2 linked regions of the Lepisosteus oculatus genome follow. The protein of the gene in region 2 interacts with the protein of the main gene of each other region in a biochemical or structural test. Links are inferred from orthologs where the notes say so. Each region holds a gene or a part of one and is shown on either strand. Other genes may lie near its edges.

Region 1 (7,730 bases), on a different chromosome or scaffold from region 2:
AAAATTTAAAAGAACAGTAATCTGTCGTTAAGGGAAGGGAGAATGTGTGATCCTAACTGCAGAATAATTTTAGTTTCGGTGGTCTTTCTGATGTATGAGTTCGGAAAACCGTCTTTGAGAACACAGACGGAGAGATTAGTGTGGTCGTGGCCGTCAGAGGTGAAATGAGAAACAATGGGCTTGGAGAGATCTTTAATCTTCACAGCCCTGACGTGTTCTCTGAAGCGGTCTCCGAGTCTCCTTCCTGTTTCTCCAATGTAGATGGCTGGGCATTTACTGCAAGAGATACAGTAAATAAGGTTGCTGGAGGTACAAGATGCTGTCTGGGTGATCCGGAATTGTCCTGAGGGGCCTTGAATGAGTGTGGTGGTGGCTGTGTACTTGCAGGTGATACAGCGAGCTCTGTTGCAAGGGAAAGTGCCTGGTGTGGATGGTTGTTGAGGGCGGTCAAGGGAGCTGTGAACAAGGAGGTTACGCAGATTAGGTGGTCGGCGATATGAGATGATAGGGCGATCAGAAAAGAGGGCCCCAATGGAGGGATCATCCTGTAGGATGGAAAAATTCTGGTTAATGGTCCTGGGGATAGGAAGTGTGTTAGGGTGGTAAGGAAGCACCAAGGGAATGCGGTTGTTACGGCGGGAGTTCCTAATCGGGTTGATGGTCCGGGGGGTGTTTTTGGCTCGGGCAAGGGCCCTGTCAATCACACTGCTGGGATATCCTCTGTTGATAAAAAATGAGTACATTTCGAGGGCTTGGTTCTCGAAGTCGATGTCAACGCTGCATAGTCTTCGTAACCTAAGGAACTGTGAAAAAGGAAGAGAGTTTTTAGTGTGGTTGGGGTGAAATGAGCTGTACAGGAGGTAGCTGTGTGAATCCGTGGGTTTGTAATAAACTGAAGTGGAAAGTCGGGGGTAGTTGATAGACAAGTGGATGTCTAGAAACGGAAGAGTGGTGGAAGATATGTGAACTGTATATTTGAGGGACGGGTGGAAGTTGGTGAAATGGTGCAGGAAGAACTCGAGGTGATCGTTGGAGCATGTGGCGGCACCGACGCAATCATCAATATATCGTTTGTAGAGGTCAGGGACATAGCCAGTGTAGGAGGCGAAGAAGCGTTCTTCTACCCAGCCGACAAAAATGTTGGCATAGCTGGGTCCCATTCTGGTGCCCATGGCAACTCCACTGACCTGTTGGTAAAAAAGATTATTGAAAGAGAATGCGTTCAGTGTGAGGACCAATTCTGCAAGGCGTACCAGGGTGTGGGTGGGTGGATCAAGCACTGTGCGTTTGTCCAGCGTGTGCTTGAGTGCTGTAAGGCCGTCATTATGGGGAATGACGGTGTACAGAGATGTGATGTCCATGGTAAAAATGTGGCATTCGGTACCCTGAAATTGGAAATCATTGAAAAGTTGGAGCGCGTGGTTGGTGTCTTTGATGTATGAGGGAAGATCTTCAACCAGCGGTCTCATGAGGCTGTCGAGAAAGGCTGAGATGTAAGTAGTTGGACAGTTACATGCTGATACGATGGGGCGTCCAGGGGTGTCTGGTTTGTGGATTTTGGGGAGGAAGTAAAATTGAGATACCTGTGGATGTTCCATGATGAGCCGGTTCGCCTCCTGGGGGAGCTCGTTACTGCTGATAAGAAGGGAAATGGTGGATACCACTTCCTTTTGGTAGTCAGTGGTAGGGTCCTGTTGGAGAGGGAGGTAGGCAGAAGTGTCAGTTAGTTGTCTAGAGGCTTCAAAGATATATAGATCCTTACGCCACACCACAACAGCACCTCCTTTGTCCGCTGGTTTGATGACGATATCATCCCTGTTGCGGAGAGACTGGAGCGCCTGATTTTCTCCTTGGGTGAGGTTAGACCTATGCTTACTGGGTATAGAGAGTGCCTTGGGAGCTTGATTAGTGCATTGGTTAATGAAATAATCAACTGGTGGAAAACGGCCGGAGGAGGGAGTCCAACAGCTCTGTTTCGGATTAATGTTGTTAATGACATCAATAACCGGGTTGTTATCAGCTGCCTGTGAAGAGGAATTGTCGGCAAAATGTGCTCTGAGACGGATCCTGCGGTAAAAGCGGTTAAGGTCGACATTGGTCTGGGGGATGTCCAGCTTCCTGGGAACTGGTACAAAACTGAGCCCTTTGCTGAGGAGGGATCGCTCGTCCTGTGAAAGGGAAAGGTCAGAAGGTATGGTGACAACAAGGTTAGGGTTGGTGAGGGTGTCCGGGGTGTTGATGGTTTTCTTCTGTAGAAGATGACTGAGTTTTTTGTCCTTCTCTGTAGTGAGAAACTGGTAGAGTTTAGAGTTGAGAGATCTAATGAGGTTAGTTATGAAGGGAAGATGGTGTGGAGCTGTCAGCCGTAGAAATTCCTTAGCCTCTTTGATGTTGTTGTCAGAAAGGATAATCCGTTTTTTGAGGGAGAAAATGGTAGAGAGCATTAGTTTCCTAGAAAATTGTTTTAGAAGTCTCTGAGTGTTGCTCTGGGTGTTATCAGAGTCAAAAGAAAAGGTATTAAATTTAAGGCGAAATCCTTTAGGGATGATATTATGTCGACGACATCTGTAAAGGAATAGAAGGTGGTTAGAAAGCCTGGTCTTGGAACAGATAGCTGTGAAGAGACGGAATGCTGGTTTAGTGAGAGAAGCGGGCAAGTGGCCCAGGGAGGAAGAGAAGGTATGACGAAGAGATCTAGAAAAAGATTTGGAGGAAGGCATAGTGGGTCGCAGCAGCTGTAGGCGGTAGTAGTTCAGGTGGGTAGCTGCGTCAGCATGCGTAGGCTGCAAAGGAACAAGTAATAGGTTTATTCCATGCTGAAAAAAAGAAGAAAGAGAACACAACGTTTCGGCCGTGGAGCCTTCTTCAGGTGTGAGAGAGACAGGGCAGTAGGCAAAGGTAAAGTAGCAGGAGAACAAAGGTTGGGGGGAGGAGGAGTGAGAGGCGGGAGCAGGGGACAGAAAGAGAGGCCAATCAAGAGGTGTGAAGGCAGAATGGGTGCAGAGAGGTGTGAAATGAAACTTCCAATGAATGGAGAAAATTTAAAAGAACAGTAATCTGTCGTTAAGGGAAGGGAGAATGTGTGATCCTAACTGCAGAATAATTTTAGTTTCGGTGGTCTTTCTGATGTATGAGTTCGGAAAACCGTCTTTGAGAACACAGACGGAGAGATTAGTGTGGTCGTGGCCGTCAGAGGTGAAATGAGAAACAATGGGCTTGGAGAGATCTTTAATCTTCACAGCCCTGACGTGTTCTCTGAAGCGGTCTCCGAGTCTCCTTCCTGTTTCTCCAATGTAGATGGCTGGGCATTTACTGCAAGAGATACAGTAAATAAGGTTGCTGGAGGTACAAGATGCTGTCTGGGTGATCCGGAATTGTCCTGAGGGGCCTTGAATGAGTGTGGTGGTGGCTGTGTACTTGCAGGTGATACAGCGAGCTCTGTTGCAAGGGAAAGTGCCTGGTGTGGATGGTTGTTGAGGGCGGTCAAGGGAGCTGTGAACAAGGAGGTTACGCAGATTAGGTGGTCGGCGATATGAGATGATAGGGCGATCAGAAAAGAGGGCCCCAATGGAGGGATCATCCTGTAGGATGGAAAAATTCTGGTTAATGGTCCTGGGGATAGGAAGTGTGTTAGGGTGGTAAGGAAGCACCAAGGGAATGCGGTTGTTACGGCGGGAGTTCCTAATCGGGTTGATGGTCCGGGGGGTGTTTTTGGCTCGGGCAAGGGCCCTGTCAATCACACTGCTGGGATATCCTCTGTTGATAAAAAATGAGTACATTTCGAGGGCTTGGTTCTCGAAGTCGATGTCAACGCTGCAACGGAAATGGGATATACTGTACAGTATGGGACATAGTAGTGACAAAGATGGTGTGCCCTTATTGGCTGAGGCCTTCAGGCTCTGGCTAGTATCCATCCGCCTGCCCTGGGGACCTACAGTATAGAGTAGCCCTTAGCAAGAGTCCTTGTTCTCTTGAGTAAACTGTGGTGGTCTGCCTGCTGTTTGTGTAATCTGCCTGTTCAGCCACTTTTATTTTGTCAATTCAGTAAAAGGGTGAAACTGTACATAGACTGCGCCTTCTAAATTTTCTAGGTATCTTCAAAAGAAAACGCCAGCTTAGCGTCACAGGATTTTTTTATCTAGTATCTCTCTTTGGTAAAAGGGAAAAGCCCATCTCCATTAAGTAAATATTGATTTCAGATGGAGTTGCTTATTCCTAGAGTGTCGGAATGACGTTTGCATAAAACACAACTGTATGTATTTCCATGCTCAATAAAATATTTCAGTTTCTTTGGAAATGCAAATGTCCTTGATGCGCGTTTCAATGGCAACTGTCAACAACACACACCCGTAAATACATGTTTTCCACAGACCCCAGCTACTCTCGCCATTGCGCAACAAAATGCTGTTCATGTCAAATTCTAACTGCTGAAGCAGTGTCTGTGCTGAGGTTATGGGAAACACCATTACAAAGGGGTATTTTGTAGAAAATAATTAAACTTTACTCTTCTGAAACACCGACAATATATTTTATGTCAGTTCCGTGTACGTGTGTCCAGAAATGGCTATTTCATTCAGACACAAATAATGAGATTGCTCATGAGGTCGTTGTTGATCTTAGTCCCCCACTTTGCTGCGTTTTGGTAGAGTCCTTGGCTCTCCTATCACGTAACTGTTTCAAGGAAGCTGCAGTACTTTAACCTCCTCCATCACTTATGTTTACTTGCTTTGCAAGCACTGCCGGCAAGACTCTACGGAGTGTGTCAGATCCGATCTGACTTTAGGACTTTAACCCAGAACGGGGCTTTATCTTTCTGTCACGGTTTATTATCGGTCCTTTTCTCTTTCCCCGTGGAGCCAGGTAGCTTCTGCAAGGGCACTCTGTCCTGTTCCTTCATCTATTGACAGCTGTTAGCTAACCTTTAGGATGACATTAAAATCCAATAAAAACGAACCCGCTGCTGTATTTGAGCGTGTGAACAGCGTTCGGACAGCCCTCTCCGATCTGTACCTCGAGCAGCTGCTACAAAACAAGCCCAAGCCAGAGAAGGTAAGGATTTGATTCAATACAGTCATTCTTTAAAAATGTTCAGCCGTTTTAAACCAGTACAATCTCGTTACCGTTAGCTATAGAACATGCTTTAACTACTTCTTCTGTCAATACTAGTGTATGAAGAAAATCAATAATAGCTGTAAATACAGGGGACAGCTCCAGTACTGATGGATGGATAGACAGACAATATAGGAGGCTACAGTTTGAATTTGTTCACATCTGATACGTGATCTTCTCTGGTGGGGAACATTTCTTTATCTATTGTTTTCCTCGTAAAGTGAGTGTGTACTGACTGTGTACATAAAGGCTTTCAAACCTGGATCTGTGCAATATTACTTCACGTTATGTTCAGAAACTCCAAAACATCACCTATGAATTGTATATGTTTATGATTAATCATTATTAATGTCTGCACATTTTGTCTGTGTAGATGTCAAAGCCTTGTTAAGTGTGACTTGTTTGTTGTAAAGTATGTCAAGAAATGTATCACCATTTATACATGCATGTTTTAGAAAAAATAAAACTACTTCCTTTTGATATTTATTAAATTATTGTGAAATCATCTTGATTTGTTGTTCATTAATCAATAATTAACTATTTAACAACCTTATTAGTTAGAGAGTTGATTGGGCACACATGTTGGAAGTTGATGGTGATTTATCTCATTGAATACAGTAAAACTTAAGAAAGAAAAACACAAAAAGGAACCAATCCTTATCAAGTGAAAATCAACTCCTTCCACCATGTGTATATTGAAAAGTAGACTAAGTCAGAACACTTTTGTTTACCATCGGAGGTATTCACAGTTAGCCATTTCTCACCTGGTAACACCCAAACACCGTCCTTCGACAATGGGCCACAATCTTGGAAACCATGAATTATGAAACCTTGCTGAAACTGACACATCACCACTGTGAGGTTGGTCACAATATGTGCGCCAGCTTTTCAAGTGTGAGAAGACAGCAAGACATCATTTGGGGCCAGCAGGGGGTGCCCACCCTGTGGTTCATGTGGGTCCTAATGCCCCAGTATAGTGACGGGGACACTATACTGTAAATAGGCGCATTCCTTCGGATGAGATGTAAAACCGAGGTCCTGACTCTCTGTGGTCATTAAAAATCCCAGGTCGTTTCTCGAAAAGGGTAGGGGTGTAAGTCCAGAAAAGCGCTATATAAGTGTAAGCAATTATTATTATTATTATTATTATTATTATTATTATTATTATTATCATCATCATTTGCGGTGTTCACCTGTTTTCATCAACACAGCAGAATTAGGTGGTGTTAGCAACACCTCAAGTAGTCTTGCCAGCAGCAGAGCCTTGGTATTGATCGATCAAAGTTGCGTGTAGCCCACTCTAATGGATGCCAGTTATTGTCATGTGGTGTAGACTCACAGAATAATGCAGTCAATGTTCTGTATAGTTGATTGGGAGTCACCAGAGAACTCTACTTGTGATTGATGGCAACTACATGTCCATGGACCCTTGCTGCCCTTCCGGTGATCTCATCTAAATATGTCAAATATCCAGCAGCACAAGGCATCTCCTTCAAGCTGCTTGTGTTAAAACAACTTTTTATGAAGTGAGAATTTAACGGATATGCCACGGATGTCCGTGTCCCTGTCCGTGTCCATGTCCATGTCTGCTTGCCAGACTTGAAGCCCCGTTGAATATATGTGGAAAGAGCTGCGGTGACGTGGCTTCTAGGGCTCAGAGACCAGTGAAAAGCCACATGCTTGTCCAGGCAAGAAGTATGAAGCAGAATCTTACAAGATGGAATCTGCAACCTAATCAAAGCATTTATTGTATATGTTCAGCATGTATTGTTTCCAGCACTGCTCACACAAGGTTCTGCTTTGTGACTTTCACAGTAAATGCCCTGTTGACCCTGCTGATCACATAATTTCTTTTGATGTTAAGGATTTATTTTGAAGAAAACTATAATTCTGAGATTCTTTGACATTGCAGCTCATGAGCGTCTACTGTAAAATTAGACCAATTAAAAAGGTAAACCTAAATACTTAATCTGTGATGCTGGGCTTTTTGGGGATAATTTCTTGGCTCACACAGTCTAATACTTTTCTTTTATTCTTTCTTCTTATCAACTGTCAGATGTTGAGGTGCTTGTGTTATTTTTTCTTGGGGTTCATGTAGGACGAACAACTAGCTGTTGAACAAAAGAACAAAGTTTACAGCAGCATTGCTACTTAAAATATTGCCTGTCAAGGAAAAAAAATGTATACAGTAGCCAGTTTCAACACGTTTGCCTCAGCTGATTCCTTTGTGAAATAGTGGGTGATTAAATTCCATTCTTGTTGAGAAATCCATCTGCACATGAACTACATCAGTGATTAGTAAGCAGATTTCTACACACTCTTATAAAAGAAAGTAACTCTGTGAATATGCATGGCACTGATACAACTTCTTATAGTTGCCCAAATTGTTCTTAGACCCTAGTTTCTATGTTGTATCCCATTTTCCACAGACATAACGTTAGCACCATTAATATTTTGGATATTACCAACCGTAAGTGCTGATTATTGTAATCAGTTCCATGCCAGTTTAGCCTCTTACCTTATATTCTAGATGAATAAAAACTTGATGAATCGTTGTTTTGGCTACTTGAATAGTCTATCATCCCCTTTCTTTTTGAGGGTTAAAAACTGTCAGGGACTTT
Region 2 (7,306 bases):
CCATACTAGTGCTTTGAACATTTTAAAATAACATCCCATGATTTAAATGTGAAATCTTGATCTACAGGTAGCTAGTGAAAAAAATGAAATTACTGTACATGCAGTACATGGAGTCATGTAATGCTAGCTTTAATTATTGGAAACTACATTTTTATACAAGACTAAGCATTCTGGGATGTTATTTGCTTAACTATTACATCAGCTAAAGTTATGTGGAAGCCTTTGCTTTCAATATACTTATATACTAAAAGAGGTTGTTTTGTCATTATTCTTGAGCAGTGTCAAGCAATTTAATCTTCAGGCTTCTGTGATACATTTCATGTTCAGAAGTTATTGAAAGAACAGGCAATGCTCCAAAGCTCTTTGGAACCAAGATTAAGTACAGTAAGTGAGAAAAAGTATCAAGAGAAAAATCAATTAGCAATTAATCAAACCCCCTGAAATTCAACTTTTCTATCTAGAATTAATTAACTTTAAATGTGATCTGGTAATGAATACAGGAATATGAAATGTTGGCAACTAATTATTATTTTCAAATGAAGAGATAAAAACCTGTTTTTAACAACAGTACAGCATGTGTTCTATTGTCATTTTAAAAATATTTCTGCAATGGCAAATGAGGCTTGGGTTTTTTTAGGTACAGTATGTAAGTTCCCTGCTTTTGTCAGCTATTCTGCAAACTTTGCCTTCAGTGGAAAATTAAATCCATAGATTCTGATGATGATTCGCTGTTGGTGACTCGCATGTACTGTACTGTAAGTGCATTAAAGGCTTCTAAAACTCTTGTAACAAGCAAGTGACACAGAAGAATAGAATTAAAAAGGATTAAAAAGTTCCTACGTCATTCATCCTCTCAACTGCCAATTCAATAGCCTTCTTCAGTTTGTGGAGCATATTGCATGTCAGTTTTTTCAACCTAAACAGAAGCTAAGGTGGTACCAAACCTTGAGGACATCTTTCACGGCAACATGAAAACTTCAGCCACTTCAACATAAGAGAGATGTATTTATAAGGAAAACATATCAATAGTAGTAACAATACTCACAATTTTGAATTTATTATTTTAAAATCAGTGCTTTTAGCTTTCTCAGGGAATGTGTGAGACAATATTTTATCATCTATGTATTTTTTAAGGCTTTCTGGTTCTGATTAATTTAAATTCCTGACCCTGACCGAACTGGGCATCTACACTCAGATATGAAGACAGAAAACAAGGACATTGCCCAAACTGAATATACAGACACAGAGAATCCTTTGGCATGACCTGTCAGAGTGTTTTTGACACAACAGGCTACCCTTTTCCTTATTGTAGCACAGTGTCACCATATGCTATTTTTGGAAAGAAAGACAAATTATAATGTTTAAAAAATTAGAATCTACAGTATGTACCTGACCACTTGATTAACATTGTTTTGGGGTTAACGTGAGTTCAGGAACTGCAAATACAGTACATAATCTCTCAAGGCTTCAAATGCAATCTCATCAATATATTTTGCATGAATTTGGTGAAAAGCAGATACATGTTCAAGTTTTTTGTATTTGTTTTTTGTTTTTTGAATTCTAGTTTATTGTACACGGTTAAGCGAAAGTGCTCTCCCTTGTGGTACGTTTGATGTTGTAATAAGTATGAAGGAGGATTTTTATTGATTAAGTCAGTGGTTTACTCTTACTGGTTTGGCGAAGAGGAGTACTTAATCTTTCACCTGATAGTGTGAGCATAAATAGACACCCCTGTTATGTGCAGCTGCAGAACAGACCTTTCTGACTACTCCTGTTGTGAAACAGCCGGCAAGGAGACATCAAGAGTGTGACCTAGCCTTTTTCCATTTCACAGCACTAATATGCATGGAACTGGGTCATTGGTCAGCTTGCCAAGAAAAACCTCAAAGGGAGCAGAGGGCAGGGCATCACTGAGTTGGTAGAATGAGAAACTATAATCATAGCTGTGGGTGGTTTTCAGAAGGCTGCAGTGAAACATGCATCTTTTTATTTAATTAACATGCCACTGGTGCTAAAATAATAAGACAGCATAATCCACAGCCATTTAAATTTGTAATATAAGGAAAACATTGCTGATTCAGATTACTTTCCTAAACCTTGACAACACATTTTTTGAGGTAATCTTTCATTTTTTAAAATCTCTATGGGATTAAATTATGGAACGGGATTACGTCTATGTTATTTTGTCTTAACAGTCAAGCAATTTGTGTTTGTGATCATGTAATTAACACAAATAGTAAGTACAATACAATATACATTTTATTTTTAAATAATTAATTAATAAATAAAATGTATTTATTGTAAATGTATACATTTGATCACATTACAAATAAAATGTTCTTTGTGATCAACCCAGTGATTTAAAATGACCATAAATATGTTGGATCAGAATCTCACTTAGTCAATGGACAACTCAATCCATATCATTATTATAAACAATTGCAAACACAGAGGAAGCAATAATTAATTTTATTCACCTTATTTTAAAGCATCTAGGCAAATGCAAACTATTTGCTAAAGTACTGTACTTTTTCTCGGCTTTTCTTCAGTTTTTAACACAAACCAACCAGACATTATATTATCAAAAATGATTCAATTACAGATCATCCCATATTTGATCTTTTGGTACAACTCATTCCTTACAAGAAGACTGCAGCAAGTTAAAGTACTGTAAATGGTATACTTTCTTCCAAGTAAATGACTGTGGAGCACTCGAAGGGTGTATGTGTTCACCACTGCTCTTCACTTTCTGCACGAATGATTGTGTTGCCAGTGGTTCAAACCAATTTCTAAACACATTTTTTGATGATTCCACCTTACTTTCTCAGATGAATGATAATGATGACTCCAACATATATCAGAACAATATATTGATTCTATAAAAACAGAAGAAATTGTCTCTGGTCTTAAACAGAATGGATATCCTTCCCTGGTCATAAGTTATAATGATTCCATTAAGCAAATTTGATTACATAACAAATAAAACATTGGATACATCCTATTAATATCTGGGAATACAGTATACTATACATAGTTGCAAATCTGTATTGGAAGGTACATGTTGACTTTTTTGTAATAAAGTACAGCAAAGAATTTACTTTCTTTGCAGGTTATGGTTTTGGTTACTATTGGTGCTAGTAGTCATACTCTGTGTTTTTCAGTTTTGTGGTACAAAGTGTCATGCAGAATGGAATAACTGGCTAGTATAATAGTCTTTCTGTGCAACATAAAGCCAAGATGACCAGACTCTTGAGGATGTTAGTAAGGCAGCCATTTGCAGAGCCTTCAAACTGCTTACATTAAGAGTATGTGGAGAAGACCTGTTAGGATCTCCTCTGATCGCTTCCATGTCCTGCATGAAGAATATTAACATACAATATGCCTTCAAACAGATGTTTTAGAGTTCCTCAATGCAGACTTAACAAAATGAAGAATTCCTTTATCCCATATTCAATAAAACTACTCAGTCAACAAATGAGTGTAGGTTAAGGGTTATGGAAGAATGCAATAAGTGGTTATGTGCAAAATGAAGAGTGAATAGACAATTATAGAGGCTTAGGGTGATTGTGGGTGGAGTAAATTTACAGGTACTGTAAGTTGTGAATTCCTATAGAAAGGACTATGGATGGGTTGAATTATTTTATGTAATGTTTATTTGTACTGTTCATACATTTTTATAAGTTTCTCTGTAGAAATAGCTGCTTGGATGCAGAACAAATTTCTGAGAAATCAGAGAAATCATTAATTTTATTTTTTTAGAGTTTAGAAGTCTGTATGTGATTGCACATCACTTTGAGGCAATAACTGCATGAAGTGTGAGACCCATGAGCTTACCAATCTGTTTGTGTAACTGATTCAGATGCTTTATTGCAGGCACTTTGACGTCTTGTTAATTCTGAAGTATTGTGGCTTACATTTTTGTTCAACCATGTAAAATGTATTCTCAATTGGTGTTCAGTCCAGAGATTAGATTGGCCATTTTGCTTGCTTTGCACCATCCAGTAACCTTGACAGACATCAGGGGTGCTGCCGGTTATAATTACAAGGCGCGTTGGTAAACCAATCCGAAAGACGTGGGCGGAGCAAACCAGAACCTGGTCTCAGTGTGAGTCTCGCGTCTTGGAAATGGGTAGGCTGTACTCAGTAGAGTTGTAGCTGGATTACCATGTGCAAAAGAGGGGTTATACAATCTTGCACAAGACATTGGTATAAAAAACAGACAAGGAGCCTTTCCCTTTTGGCCCAGACATTGAGCAAAGTGCTAGGGCACGATGGAACCTCTGCGGAAAGATGAGAAACCTAATCCATCGGCCACAGCTAATCTGTTTTCCAAGGTTTTTTTCTGGTAAGAGGGCGATTAAACTAGAAAGGAAGTAGAACAAATCGTATTTTCTCTTATATTCTGGTTTTCTTTGTTGCCGTAAATCCATACAGAGGCTTTTTTGTTACTGTAACGGAAGTTTCCGTTTTTAGTTTTGGAAGCTGTAGGTTTGGAGCCGGTGGTTTTATCGTGTAATGTACATCAGCTACACTGAAAAGAGACAAAAACCAAATAAGAGCTAAAATGATATAAAAACTGTATGATTAAGAAGTTTACAAAGCTAATTGGTTAAAAAAAACTTAATCGAAATGTATAAGCATCGTCTTAACAGAGGGTTTCCTTAATAATATGCAGTGAGCACGTGACAAGTGACACTGCAGTATTTGGTACGTCTGCACTCACGGCAATATGTATAATATTAAACAAAAACTGGTGTAATGTAAATATTTAATTACAAATATAAATGTAATTACTGTGCCGGTCGTTTCTTTCTTTCTGCTTTTTATGTTGCTTATGTACGTTGGTTGATCCACAGGTTGCTGTGTTGCCATTGAGTTTTAATACTATCTTTTGCAGTGAACCTTACCTTTATAGAATGTAACTTAATAATAACACTGATAACATGAAATAGGTGCTTTTAATAACATTTAATGTCATGTTATTTAAAACCACGAAAACGTGATTTTCGTTAGATGCTTTGAAAACTAAAGAAATAGACATGTATCTCCAGCGTTATAGCGAATATTAGGTTATTTAAAAAATGTGCGTTTAACTAAGCACTGTGGTGTGTTAAATAATAATTCCACATTTAGTGTTACGATGTACCTGTACGTTTGCTTTTCTTTATATCAAAAGTCAATCGTGTGAAGCACTTTTTAAAAGACGTACGCTTCTTCTATAAAACTACTCGAGAATTTACCAGCTGTAATAGGATACACTACCGCGGGAATTTGAAAGCCACTCTGAATGTCATCTCTGTACTTTGGTTTATGAGTTGCAAGTCCATTATACTGATGCAACTTTTAGTAGTTGTAATGTGTTCTTCATGTTTTTCTCACAATAGGCAAAAAAAGCTTGAAATATCCACATCCTGGTTCATGGTTTCTGTATAGTAAGATGCAGTAGCTTGTAAAACCTGAAATGGATCAAACTCCTATGCAATGTGAATTTCTCTGTTCACTATTAGGCGGGGTGGAAGCGTGTTTTGCCTATTTTCTTGTAAAAATATGCAAGTGCACCATATGACTGACAAGCTTTAGAAGACTTTGTTCCATTGTCATAACCAGTATTATTTTAATTTTATCTGCCGATAATAACCAAATAGTATTTGACGGTTTAAGAGAGAACATAATTCCTTGCTTTTGTACAACACTTCTCATCTCAAAGGATCTTCAGGCTAAGATCTCTGAAAGATGGTCCTGGTCAGTGCTGGAACTGGAGCACTTTGAGAATAGAAGCAGTTTGCTGACATTAGTGGTATTAGCAGAAACTAAAACATGACAAAGATAGTGACAGGGGACACTGCTATAGAGGACATTGTCCCAGATAACCTGTCAAATGAAGATCCTGAATACCTGGTTATTAAAGATCTTATGGAATTGTCTGTAAGAGTAGGGATGTTAAATGAAGTGGCTAAATTTCACTCCGGGCTTGTACAATTTAGCCTCCCTAAATTTCTCACTAAATTCAGTTGTTGAATTTATTTCTGATTTCCCCACCTGATTAGCTGTGTATTGGGTCTGTAGTAGTAGTAGTAGTAGTAGTAGTAGTAGTAGTATTAACATCACTTTACAATTTTTTGCATTAGGAATGATCTTTTCGCATACCCCAGTTTGGTCTCCATGAGACACACAGACAGGGAGAGAGCCTGGGGTCAGAGCGCAGGGTCTGCCAGTGTACGGCACCCCTGGAGCAGCTGGGGTTAAGGGCCTTGCTCAGGAGCCCAACGGAGTAGGATAGTGGCTACATCACATCACATTGTTAGTGGCTGGTAAATTAATCTCTAATTTTCAGAAATGTACAGTACCTTGCCTTTCTTACATGAGTTCCACTCTGTCGGAAGTTGCGGTGTACTGTAAAAACAGATGCATCTGTGTTGTATCTTGTTTTACTACAAACCTGTAATTCCAATTTTGTAGTACTTGTTAGTAGTTTGTTGAAGGTTGTGACTCTTCAGTTATACATGATTTAGGATTTGATGACCCTGCTTTGCTAGCCAGTGAAACAGGAAAAATAAACTGTTGAGTGGACACACGACTTTGTCATATACAGTATTAGGGAATCCATTGTCCCATTATCTTCTCTCATTCTGTATTTTTCATATTGGAGCATGATTAGAGCACTATTTTAGGAGTTACAAAAGATAATTTTCACATTTTAAGTGAAACTAGTGACTTTGGAATTGAATGTCTTTTATTTTGAGACATGGCTTTGTTTTAATTTGTCTAAATTATAGTTATATAACTGGTGGCATAACCAAGTGAAGACAAACTCCTGCTTTTATGTTTACATGTGGTATACTGTAACTATATTGGCTGTATAAATGCAGCTGACACTGTAGAAGAGACGTAGCCCTGCCTCCTCCTTGTTTCCTCTCTTCACATTTCTGTTAGTACAAACATGTGCAAGGAGCTCATGTATGATCCATCTACTGGTATAAAAGGGCAAATGTTAATGTGTAAAAACTCTGTGTAAAGATTATGTACATTACAAAGGAGAAAAACATGACAGGTCTAATTTTTCTCTTGACTTAGTAGTTTGGCTTGAAATGTGATTAGGAAGAAATAGCAGAACCAAAAACTTTGTTATACCTTCCTCTGCACACAATTAAAACCAAACCAAGAGCAAGATCTAGTAATAAACATAAAGGTGATATGGTATGAACCTTGTTTGTGTAGATAAGCAGAGTGCAGTAATCCCTCATTATACTATCTTAATTTGTTCCTCAAAAACGGCTTGTAAGGTGAAAAGTCATGTAATGGAAAT

What was found.
Region 1: the proteins of abcc4 (region 2) and mpp1 form a complex in vitro, tested with the Homo sapiens proteins (2 studies listed by BioGRID and IntAct, with this or other methods). The link is inferred for Lepisosteus oculatus from reciprocal best matches to the Homo sapiens genes ABCC4 and MPP1.

What each region holds. Positions count from the first base shown.
Region 1 is NC_090703.1:36,185,876-36,193,605, forward strand, and holds the start of mpp1 (55 kDa erythrocyte membrane protein), read left to right. Parts: upstream 1-4,683; 5' UTR 4,684-4,926; coding exon 4,927-5,049; intron 5,050-7,730. UniProt on the Homo sapiens protein: Essential regulator of neutrophil polarity. Regulates neutrophil polarization by regulating AKT1 phosphorylation through a mechanism that is independent of PIK3CG activity.
Region 2 is NC_090710.1:7,173,811-7,181,116, forward strand, and holds the start of abcc4 (ATP-binding cassette sub-family C member 4), read left to right. Parts: upstream 1-4,231; 5' UTR 4,232-4,271; coding exon 4,272-4,345; intron 4,346-7,306. UniProt on the Homo sapiens protein: ATP-dependent transporter of the ATP-binding cassette (ABC) family that actively extrudes physiological compounds and xenobiotics from cells.